Linked DNA regions of Schizosaccharomyces pombe. Changing the gene in region 1 together with any one later gene gives a genetic interaction. Each region holds a gene or a part of one and is shown in the gene's direction. Other genes may lie near its edges. The genes, in order: SPOM_SPAC29A4.02C and abc2.

Region 1 (4,477 bases):
CGCAAATCGGTAGAATCATCTGAGAAGGATGAGGATGAAGCTGCTAAGAAAGAGGAAAAACGGCGGAAAAAGGAAGCTAAGAAGGAGAAGAAGGAAAAGAAGGAGAAAAAAGAAAAAAAGGAGAAGAAGAAGAAGTCTGAGTAAAATGCCCTAAATATCGTTCGTTTCTTCTACTGAATTTGGTCATTTTACAGTTTGGGTTTGTTATAAAGGGTTTTAAGCACAAAATCCCTTATTCCGAGATCCTATAAGTTTTTGAGATACCGTTTGAGGGTTAAGAAAGAAAGCGAAGTTTCAACCTTTTGCTTTTTTGACTTGTTGTTTTGGATATTAGCTTGTGAAAACTTAAATAATTTATCGCTATAGCCCTAATGACAATTACAATGCACATCCGCAGTTTCCTTAGAATTAAGCATGATTGTTTGATATTTAGCAATTCACTTTGTTTCCGATAGAAAGCGCATTGTCTTCGGCATTTGGATAATAATATTATCTTTTCTTTGAAAAGAATATGTTTATACTGTTTTCCTTTTAGTATTTTAGTATGTATATATTTGATCAAATTAATGTACTTAGATTGGTAATATGTGTATCTGAGCTTATTCCTCGTTATAGTATGTTAGGTACGAAGGCACTATAATGCCACACAGATTCTCGTGGACGACCATCTCGAAGCCATTGGATTTGGCTAAGTTCAGCTATTCCGTTGATCGTTTGCAATGTTTAGGTCACTGGCAAAGTTAAGATGCTTTGCCAGTTCGTTGGGATTATCTTCGCATAAAAATATCAAAAGTGTACCGTTGATTCGAAATATCCATTATATTCCTGATAATCCCTCTTATTTTACGCAAAACGCTAGGTTTAATGAAATCTATTTGCATTTGGAAAACATCCTTAAGTTTGCACCTAAAATCATAGCTGCTGAGGAAGACGTTCCGAAGTAAAGTGGAAAACGTTAGAGCAGTATCAAAAAGAGTTTTCTGATCCCAAAACAACTAAAGTTGGCTATCGAAAAATTACTCGTTTACTTAATGAATTAAACGAAATTGTTCCTGAGTATCGTACTGAAGCAGTGCAAAAAGCGCTTGAGAAGTTTATTCGCCCAGACATTGTCGTGAAAACCACATTAAAAAGCCAAATGCTTGATGAAAATGGAATGAGTATTACCAAAGGAAAAAGGAAATCGAGCAAAGCTACTGTAAAGATGCTTCCGGGAACCGGAAAATTTTATGTGAATGGGAGTCCATTTGATGTCTACTTTCAAAGAATGGTTCATCGAAAACACGCTGTTTATCCACTTGCGGCCTGCAATCGCTTAACAAATTACAATGTTTGGGCTACAGTCCATGGAGGCGGCCCAACTGGACAGTCTGGTGCTGTTCACGCTGCTATCTCGAAGTCTCTCATACTTCAAGAGCCTTCGTTGAAGCAGGTCATTAAAGACACGCACTGTGTTTTGAATGACAAACGGAAAGTCGAACGTAAGAAAACAGGTCAACCTAAAGCAAGGAAGAAATACACATGGGTCAAGCGTTAATTTATCTTTGTTTTTACAGATGTACGAATTAATCTATCTTTTTTATACAAAAGTTACACTTATCTGTCAGTCATTTCAAAAGTTCAGCATAAAATCTGATATTCTTATATAAGAATGCAAGTTATACGAGTTTCGGTCATTTCGTCTTCTACTACACAGCGAGGAAAAAACTTATGAGTTACTACTCTAATGTCATTAATACAATTTTTTTACAACTTTTTACAGTATATTTCAGAATAATGTTGATCTACCCTTTGCCATGAAATTTTGTATATGCACGCTTCTTCAAGCATTAGATCTGGATTAAACATATAAAATCTCAAAACAGAACCTGCTAACCAGAATAATTAAGGAAAGAATTTTAAGGTGACACAATGCATTTCTGATTTCTTCTAGTCGTTTCATTGAAAAGTAGAGCCCCTTTTTCATATTTATTTATGTATTGTTCTTATTTACTTTTCTAGTGTTTAGTTTGTTAACCAGAACAATCGGGTTGCCAGGACAACAACATTTTTTGTCCAATTTGAGCTCGTTATTTGTACATAAAATTTCAGGCCCTTTACAATTCTTTCTCTCCCAACATCTTAGTAGCTATGTCTGTAGGAACCGTTTACGGAAAAATTGGCTCTCCTCGCGTCCTTTTCTGTGTCAGCGTTGCCGCAGTCGCAGGTGTCGAGGTCGAACATGTTGATGTTCAACCTCACAACTTCCCTGCTGATCTCGCTGCGAAGTTCCCTTTGCAAAAGATGCCCGTCTTTGTTGGAAAGGATGGATTCCCTTTGTCTGAGACCCTTGCCATCGCTTTTTACTGTAAGTAGCAAAATCCTGTAAACTCCATGTTGACGATAATATCGTATGGTGCTTCGAACTTCTTCAGAGAGTAGTCAATGTTACGGTACTTTGTAACTTTGTATGATGATACTATTTTTTTTTACAGTTATCCCTGTCTAAAGCATAGTGTTGAGAATGGTAAATCTGAATAATCTTGTTAATATGAAGAAAGGAAAAAGCCCACGATATTAATTTATCCAAATAGATTTTTTGAATAACGAAATAATTTCTTTTGTTGATCATTGACCTGTTTTACTAATTGTCAATTTTAGTGGCATCTCTCAACAAGACTCGTGCTTTGAACGGTACTACTGCCGAAGAGAAGGCTAAAGTCCTCCAATACTGTTCTTTTACCAACAGTGAGCTCCCTGGCGCCTTTCGCCCTATAATTGCTCCCCGTGTCTTTGGCGCTCCCTATGATGAGCAAGCTGCTAAGGAAGCTGAAACTGCCATTGCTTTGATTTTCGCCCGTTTTGATGAGGAATTGGCTTCTAAGACCTACTTGGTTGGTTCTCGTCTTACTTTGGCTGATATCTTCTTTACATGCTTCTTGAAGTTCGGTGCTACCTACGTTCTTACCAAGTCTTATTTGGCCAAGTACACCCATATTTATCGTTATTACCAAACCATATACCACCAAGCTAAGTTGGATGCCATTACTGAACCTCTTAAATTTATTGACCAACCTCTTCCTATTATAAAGGCTGAGAATAAGGAGGCTGCTCCTGCTAAGAAGGCCGAAAAGAAGAAGGATGAGAAGAAGAAGAATGCTCCCAAACCTCAAGCCGAGGCTCCCGCTAAGCCCCCCAAGCACCCCCTTGCTTCTGCTCCTAATGGATCTTTTGACATCGAAGAGTACAAGCGTGTCTACAGTAACCAAGACACTCGTAGTGGAGCTCTTCCTTGGTTCTTTGAGCACTTTGATCCCGAGAACTACTCCGTTTGGAAGGTTGATTACAGCTACCCCGAAGATTTGAAGCAACCAGTCTTCATGACCAACAATCTTATTGGTGGTTTCTTCCAACGTTTAGAAGCTTCTCGTAAGTACATCTTTGGATGCTGCGTAGTTATTGGCGAGAACGGTGACAACACCATTACTGGTGCTTTTGTCATTAAGGGACATGACTATGTTCCTGCTTTTGATGTTGCTCCAGATTGGGGATCTTATACCTTCACCAAGCTCGACATTAACAAGCCCGAGGACAAGGCTTTCATTGAAGACGCTTGGGCCTGGGACAAGCCTATTGAGGGACGTGAGGTCGCTGACGGCAAGGTCTGCAAGTAAAAATGTTTGGGTGAAATGGATAAGGTAGGTTTGTTGGGAAGGCAATCCCTATTGTTTATTGATAATTCCAAGATTGAGTTTGTTTTAGCCTTAGAAAATGATTGATTTTACATTTCAAAAAGAGTAGACATTGTGTATGTTTGCTTATTTTTTGAATTCCTCCCTTTTTTTTCAATTCTCAAATGTGTATAAGGTTTGCTATTTGTGAAAAATCGTTAGCTCGCTTTATTGTAAATAAAGTCCACGTATGTTTGACCATAGTAGTATTCGTTTCCAAAGCAGTTCTTGGAATTTTAGTAGACGGCTAGGCGATTGTTTGTACATGCATTGCAAAGTGCACCACCCATCGTCAGCAATATTTGCAGTCGTTCTTGATATTTCCAGCTAAAGCATAACTGCATCAATATATCAGTCGGTTAGATACATGTAGCGTCTACCATGCACAGAAGCAGTTGATCTGCAAATCCGACCAATATCAAGTTATGGGCTAAGTGAAAATTACAAACTCAAAGGTGAGCACAAGTGAAGCAAATGAAACCAAGCTAGTCGATGCAAGTGAAGTTCATTTCTTTTCTTTGCACAAGAATTGATTTTGCGTAAAAATAACGATCTCACTGCTACACAATGAACCTGTCTTTTTACGAAGTTTGCGGCTACAGCGTTCCAATCAGCGGTGAAATAATTCACCCAAAAAGATGCAATTTTTAGCGTAGTGATTGAATATGAGAAATCGACGTTTACATCAACATGAGGTAAATAGATAGCGTAGTAGTGGTTGAGAGGGTATTTCTACGCTCGATCCTTCCTATATATTAAGCAGGACC
Region 2 (7,358 bases), 2.3 Mb from region 1:
TTCTATATTATCTGAATACTATAAAGGGACATAGATGAAATGAGAAACGAGGTTCAGTTATAAATTACATTAGTGATAGATAACAAATATAACCTACATAATAGAATACCTAACTCAGATGCTACAAATATTACCTGTGTGTTGCAATATAGTAGTCAGAAGGAAAACTCAACGCAGTTTTGCATATCGTTAAATAGATATCAAACTGCGTAGCTGACACTAAATAAAAATAAAGTAGGTTTGGTAAATGCGTTGTTTTTAATTAAACGAGGGCAGCGTAGCCCTTCCTTAAGTGATTCTACTTAGTAATATCAACGCGGTTTACAGACGTGTTTTATCAACAATGAACCTCGCTTCATGTTAAAAGTTTGATGTGAATTGCTTTTTTGAGCTATTTGAACATTTAAGTGCTTTTTAAAATACATTTGCTACTCTTCTTTTAAGTTTGGTAATTAAGAGTGCAATATTTTATCACGCTTGTCAATGTTAGGGATCCGTGAAGTGCCTTTGATTACCACTATCATTTTGCAACATTATTTTTAAACATTCCATTAGAAAGAACAGGAAAAAGTTCTTTGAACTAATTGAACACCTGTTTCACCCTTTGCGACTGATAGCAGTTCGTTTTAATTTTTTTAATTTGAGTTGATGCGAAAATCAACGCTTTAATTTTGGACAGCCTTTAAGCACAATCATCGTTTATTCTATATTTATTTTTTTTATTCCTGTTTTACATATCTAACGTTTTGGAATTTTTTTAAACTTCCAGTCTTCAGAAACCTTTTATCTATTTATCCTTAGAATCCCATTTATCAAGATACTCTTGTCAAGCTACTATATGTACTCATAAACTACCTTGTGTTTTCATCTCTTTACTAGACTGTTCATTCTCCCTTATCATTACATTGCTGGTTTACTACGAAAGTGTTCAAATACATTGGCTGGATTCATCAGCGGTAACACTTCAATCATTACATTATCTTCATGCTTGTAAAAAATTCATTTCTATTATAGAAATTTTCTTTGTTTTATGAGATAATAAATTCGGCTAGAAAATGCAAAGAGATATGTCCATAAATCATCTGCTTCCTCCTTTATCAGGACCAGGACAAGTCGAACAACTCACAGGTTTTACTAATGACATAGTTTATAACGATTTTTATGCTCATGCCGTTAGTTATAATCCTTATCCCTCTGAAAAGATTGATTTTCCCAAGAAAAATACAGCCCATAAAAATTCCACGACTTCAACGGTAGCTTCTAGTGGTAATACGACTATGGAAAAACCATGTGTTGGAAGCGAGGAATGGTATAAAGCTAAAAGATTAAGTCACAAAGAAGTAGAGCGTAGAAGAAGAGAAGCCATAAGTGAGGGAATTAAAGAGTTGGCGAACATCGTTCCTGGATGTGAGAAAAATAAAGGTAGTATCCTTCAAAGGACTGCTCAATATATTCGATCCCTTAAAGAAATGGAGGAAATGTGTCGTGAAAAATCAAATTTGGAGAAACTTGTTGCTGATCATACTATTCAAGAACTAGCTAGGGAGAACGCACGGTTAAAATCGGAATGCGAACGTGCATGGCGCAGTGTTGAGCTTTGGAAGCAAGCTGCTAGGAGTTTTGATTCAGAACTTGATGTAGAAGAGAATAGTGAATCGTAAAATAACTCTCCTTTTCTAATGCAATTATTTCCCTATCATTTTTTGCATTTTTTTATATATTTCCATTTACTTTGATCCTACTTTCCCTTGAGGTCCACGTTTATAGTCTAACTATATGGTTTACAATACTTTTAACTTATATACATATTTTATTTTCAACTTACATTGCATAGTAATTTAGAATCTGAATTTAATCTGATTAGAAATTGCTTTGAAGTTACCATGACTGTAAAACTTGTTTTTAAAGGTTTAAGAAACATTTGTTTACAGTGAATATCATTAGATTAAAAATCATAACTGTCAAAACCATATTTAATATGTAGATTCGTTTTGTGAAAGGTTAGTCAATTCAACGATGAAATTATAAACTCATTAGATAGATTAAAATATATTAAGGGATTCCATTAATATATCTAGTTGCTCATAAAAATTTAGTAATATTTTGTTGTTAGTTACTGAATCGAAATGTATTACGAACATGTTCATTCATACCACCACAAATTTATACTTTGTAAGCCACTTATCTTCAGCCAACACTCTTCAGGTTTTGTTACATTCGCAGGAAATAACTGTTTCAGGGAATTTGAATCAGTTTAATACTGTATTATCAAAATGGTTCTTGAACAGGATTTAGATCCTTTTGTAGGTGGAAATTGGATGAATTCTGCTTACAAAGGATTCACATTTCTATCGGCAACTTGGCTTGCTCCAAACATTTACCTTCTTATCAGTGGATGTCTGCAGTACTTCTATGAGGTTAGAAAAAGGTCTCATTATTTTCATTTTCGAAGATTTTGGACAATATGGCTGAAGTCTTTAGTTATTATGGTTCTCCTTTTCACCCATATTTATGACTGTTATAAAACGAATGAAAGTGTATGGAATGTATTAAGCATTATAACTTATTTTCTTGCTTTGTTTTTGCATGTTGTGGAGCAGCCTACGTTGCGAATACCTATGGCCTCTTTGTTGATGTTTTGGCTTTTTAAGTTTTTAGCCTCGGCTCTGGTTTTATTACTTCGTCCTAATTATACAATGTTCCCTATGCTTAACGTAGTTCCCTCCATTACTTTTTTTTGCTCATTGGTATGCCTTCTAGCTGAAATCTACGTGCCTCCTGCCAACCGAGTTTGGTATCCCGATGATGCAGCTGAGTTGGAAGAGACTGGATTAAGACCATCTCGGTTTACCTATGCCAACATTTTTTCAAGGATATCATTTGGTTGGCTTAGCCCTCTTATGAAGTTTGGTTACAGAAATTATCTTACTGAATCAGATGCTTGGTCTCTTCCTCCTGCCGAACGTTCCAGCAATCTGACTATTGTTTTTGAAAAGAATTGGATTTCCCATGCAAAAAAGAAAAAAAGTAGTCTTTACATGTGGGGTGTTTTGTTTTTAAACCATTGGAAGCTTACCGTTGTTATTATCGTTTTGAAGTTGGTGCAAGACGTTGTAGCGTTTATTCAGCCAAATTTAATTAGGAAGATTGTTATTTTTGTTAGCTCCTATTCTTCTGAGCATCCACAACCTCCTCAAGTAGGTTTCAGTCTTGCAATCGCTATGTTTTTAACCAACGTCGTACAAACCGCATTGTTACAACAATATTTCCAACTTGGCATGGTACTTGGCATGAGATGGAGGTCCGAATTGATTACTGCTATCTATCGCAAATCCTTACGTCTCTCAAGTGCGGCTCGTCAAAGTCGATCTGTTGGAGATATCGTAAATTACATGTCTGTCGACACTCAAAAAGTTTGTGATTTAACTATGTTTTTGTTTGTTATTGTATCGGGTCCTTTCCAAATTGTACTAGCTCTCACAAATTTGTACCATCTTGTAGGATACGGTGCGCTCTCTGGGGCTTTTGTGACATTCTTACTATTTCCTTGTAATGTTGTGATTGCAAGTATCTTTAAAAGGTTTCAAAATAGACAAATGAAAAATAAAGACGCACGTTCTCAGTTTATGACTGAAATTATTAACAATATTCGCAGCATTAAGTTGTATGCTTGGGAAAACATATTCCTTCAAAAATTGCTGCAGTTAAGGAATACCAGAGAATTGCGCATGTTGAAAAAGATTGGAATTGTCAACACTATTGGCAACTTTACCTGGCTTTTTGCTCCTATTCTTGTATCAGCCGCAACGTTTGGTACTTTCATTGTTCTGTATGGAAAGACACGTGTGCTTTCAGTTGATATAGTCTTTGCTTGTTTGAGTCTTTTCAATTTGTTACAATTTCCGTTAACCATGTTGCCTATTGTTGTCAGTTCAGTTTTAGAGGCATCTGTTGCTATTTCTCGTATCTATGGGTTTCTCACTGCAGGTGAATTGGACTCCAACGCTGTTCAACGCTACCCAGCTAACAAAGAACCATCCGGAGTTTGTTTAGAAATTAAAAAGGGTACATTTAGTTGGTCCGGTCCTGGACAAAATGCCGCAGAACCTACTTTACGTGATATTGATTTTGTGGCTAGAAGGGGTGAGCTATGTTGCATAGTTGGTAAAGTTGGAATGGGTAAATCATCTTTGCTTGAAGCTTGTTTGGGCAACATGCAGAAGCATTCTGGCTCCGTGTTCCGCTGTGGTTCCATCGCGTATGCAGCTCAGCAACCCTGGATTTTGAATGCTACTATTCAGGAGAATATCCTCTTTGGCCTTGAACTGGATCCTGAGTTTTATGAAAAAACCATTCGTGCTTGTTGTTTGTTGCGTGATTTTGAGATACTTGCTGATGGAGATCAAACGGAAGTTGGCGAGAAAGGTATATCTTTATCTGGAGGTCAGAAGGCACGTATTTCTCTTGCTCGTGCTGTTTATTCTCGCTCAGATATTTATCTTCTTGATGACATTTTATCTGCTGTTGACCAGCATGTTAATAGAGATTTAGTTAGGAATCTTTTAGGTTCAAAAGGTTTACTCAGATCACGATGCGTTATTCTTTCAACTAACTCCTTAACCGTTTTAAAAGAAGCCAGCATGATTTATATGTTAAGAAATGGTAAAATAATAGAGAGTGGAAGCTTCACTCAATTATCTTCTTCGCCAGACTCCCAATTGTTTCAATTACTTTCGGAATTTAGCAAGAAGGATACCGCATCATCTACTGGAGCCGATACTCCTCTCTCCCGTTCTCAATCTGTAATTACTTCTTCTACCGATGTCACGAGTTCAGCTAGCCGTTCTTCTGACACAGTTAGCAATTATCCAAAGGCCACCATAAAAGGAACAGGTAGGATCCGTAAAAGGTTAACCGACGAGGACAATGTCAAAGCTACTGGACAAGCTGCTGAGAAAATGGAACGTGGTAAGGTAAAGTGGAAAGTATACTGGACGTACTTTAAAGCGTGCTCTTTGTTTTTAATCTTCTTGTATTTCCTTTTCATTATTGGTGGTATTGGTATGAATGTTGGTACTAATGTTTGGCTTAAACATTGGAGTGAGGTAAATACACAATTAGGTTATAATCCTAAACCATACTTTTACTTGGGTATATACACATTGTTTGGTCTTCTTTCTTGTGCATTGATTTCTCTTAGCAGCTTAACCATTACCGTGTTTTGTGCTATTAAAAGCTGTCGTTATCTACATGATTCAATGGTAAAGGCGGTTTTGCGTGCTCCCATGAGCTTTTTTGAAACCACGCCAACTGGTCGAATATTAAACCGATTTTCCAGCGATGTTTACCGTGTGGACGAAGTTATTTCTAGAGTTTTTATGTTTTTCTTCAGAAATCTCTTTCAAATAGTTTTCGTACTAGCAGTTATTTGCTATTCTTCTCCTATGTTTATGATCCTAATTGTTCCATTATTCTTTCTGTATCGTTACAATCAAGTTTATTATACTCAAACTTCTCGAGAGCTAAAAAGGCTTGATAGCGTTACTCGCAGTCCTTTATATGCTCATTTCCAAGAGTCTTTGGGTGGGTTGTCAACTATTCGTGCTTATGACATGGAAGATACATTTATCTCGGAGAACGATATTCGTGTTGATACCAATCACCGAATTTGGTTCTTGTACTTCAGTTCAAATAGATGGCAGGCAATTCGTGTTGAAGCAATAGGCGCTTTGGTGGTATTTTCATCTGCATTTTTTGGAGTTCTCTCCGCAGTCCGTGGAAATCCTAATTCTGGTTTAGTGGGTCTTTCGTTGTCTTATGCCGTACAGATTACCCAAAGTTTAACCTTTGTCGTAAGACAGTCTGTTGATGTAGAAACAAACATTGTTTCAGTCGAACGAATGCTGGAATACATTGGTCTTCCAAGTGAGGCACCCTCCATTATTCCAGATCATCGTCCTCCAGAAGGATGGCCTTCCCATGGTGCAATTAAATTTGATCACTACAGTGTCAGATATCGTGAAAATCTTCCACTAGTCCTAAACGATATAAGTGTTAACATTAAACCACAAGAAAAGATTGGTATTGTCGGTCGTACAGGAGCAGGAAAGTCGACTTTGACGCTTGCATTGTTTAGATTAATTGAGCCAACATCAGGAGACATACAATTGGATGATATCAATATTACTTCGATTGGATTACACGATTTACGCTCCAGACTTGCTATTATCCCACAAGAAAATCAAGCTTTCGAAGGTACAATTCGTGAGAATCTCGATCCTAATGCTAATGCTACCGATGAAGAGATTTGGCATGCTCTCGAAGCTGCTTCCTTAAAACAATTCATCCAGACTCTTGACGGCGGGTTGTATTCCCGTGTTACAGAAGGAGGAGCCAATCTTTCGTCAGGCCAACGCCAGCTGATGTGCTTGACAAGGGCATTATTGACACCCACACGCGTATTATTATTAGATGAAGCTACTGCAGCTGTTGATGTTGAAACAGATGCTATTGTGCAACGCACAATTCGTGAACGCTTTAACGATCGTACCATTTTGACCATTGCTCACCGTATTAATACTGTGATGGATTCGAATCGTATATTAGTATTGGATCATGGTAAGGTAGTCGAATTTGATTCAACGAAAAAGCTGCTGGAAAATAAAGCATCTTTGTTTTATTCCCTCGCAAAAGAGAGTGGACTTATTTGAGTTCACAGGTCGTTTGCTAATTTAAAATGCTTCTAATTAATTTTATGAAAATCCCGAAACTGTTATTCCTAAGCAAATTCTCATTTTGTTAGATTTACAAGTTACTGGTTTCTTGGTAATTTATATACTATTTTTTCTCAACTTGCTAAAAGACAATTTATCCGAATCATGTTATATTTTTTCTTCCCTTGTATTCAGCATATCTCTGTTTCGAAAAAAGCATGCACGCTGCTCACTTACAAGATAACCTTTTGTTGAAAAGGAAGATTTATTAACTATATATGATTGAAGATTTTTTCTTTTCAAAGGATATATAAGTTCTGCAAAGTTTCCTAAAAAAATCTTTCTTTTTTGTTTCTTACACCTTTTGACATTTATATTGGAGCCTAACGTTTTGCCGCTTTGATATCATTTATCCGTTGATTTTAGAAAAAAAAGTTAGGAAGAGTTGTTACCGATTTTTTCCTTCTTTTTATGCCAATATTCACTTCATCAGATTTAATTTGGCTACTTTTTTTTTCGTAACCTACTATAGTTATCTCATTATAGAATGAAATGAAACTCTATTATTATGTAGTTAAAATCAATGATAAGCACTGTATTAAAGTTTAAGAGAAAATCGCGAATTCCTTTTGATGTCCTTTTCTC

The links.
Region 2: mutations in SPOM_SPAC29A4.02C (region 1) and abc2 together harm fitness less than expected from each alone (positive genetic interaction), as found in Schizosaccharomyces pombe (one large-scale study listed by BioGRID).

The regions. Positions count from the first base shown.
Region 1 is NC_003424.3:5,141,688-5,146,164, forward strand, and holds SPOM_SPAC29A4.02C (translation elongation factor EF-1 gamma subunit), read left to right. Parts: upstream 1-2,115; 5' UTR 2,116-2,130; coding exon 2,131-2,347; intron 2,348-2,445; exon of another isoform or gene 2,446-2,519; intron 2,520-2,640; coding exon 2,641-3,653; 3' UTR 3,654-3,828; downstream 3,829-4,477. Other genes in the region: pseudouridylate synthase Cbf5, read left to right, coding at 1-144. UniProt on the Schizosaccharomyces pombe protein: Probably plays a role in anchoring the complex to other cellular components.
Region 2 is NC_003424.3:2,836,620-2,843,977, reverse strand, and holds abc2 (vacuolar phytochelatin and glutathione S-conjugate ABC family transmembrane transporter Abc2), read left to right. Parts: upstream 1-2,189; 5' UTR 2,190-2,273; coding exon 2,274-6,710; 3' UTR 6,711-6,857; downstream 6,858-7,358. Other genes in the region: SPOM_SPAC3F10.12C (transcription factor), read left to right, coding at 1,056-1,661. UniProt on the Schizosaccharomyces pombe protein: Involved in vacuolar sequestration of glutathione S-conjugates. Together with abc4, required for accumulation of a red pigment (ade pigment) in the vacuole of a mutant affected in the adenine biosynthetic pathway.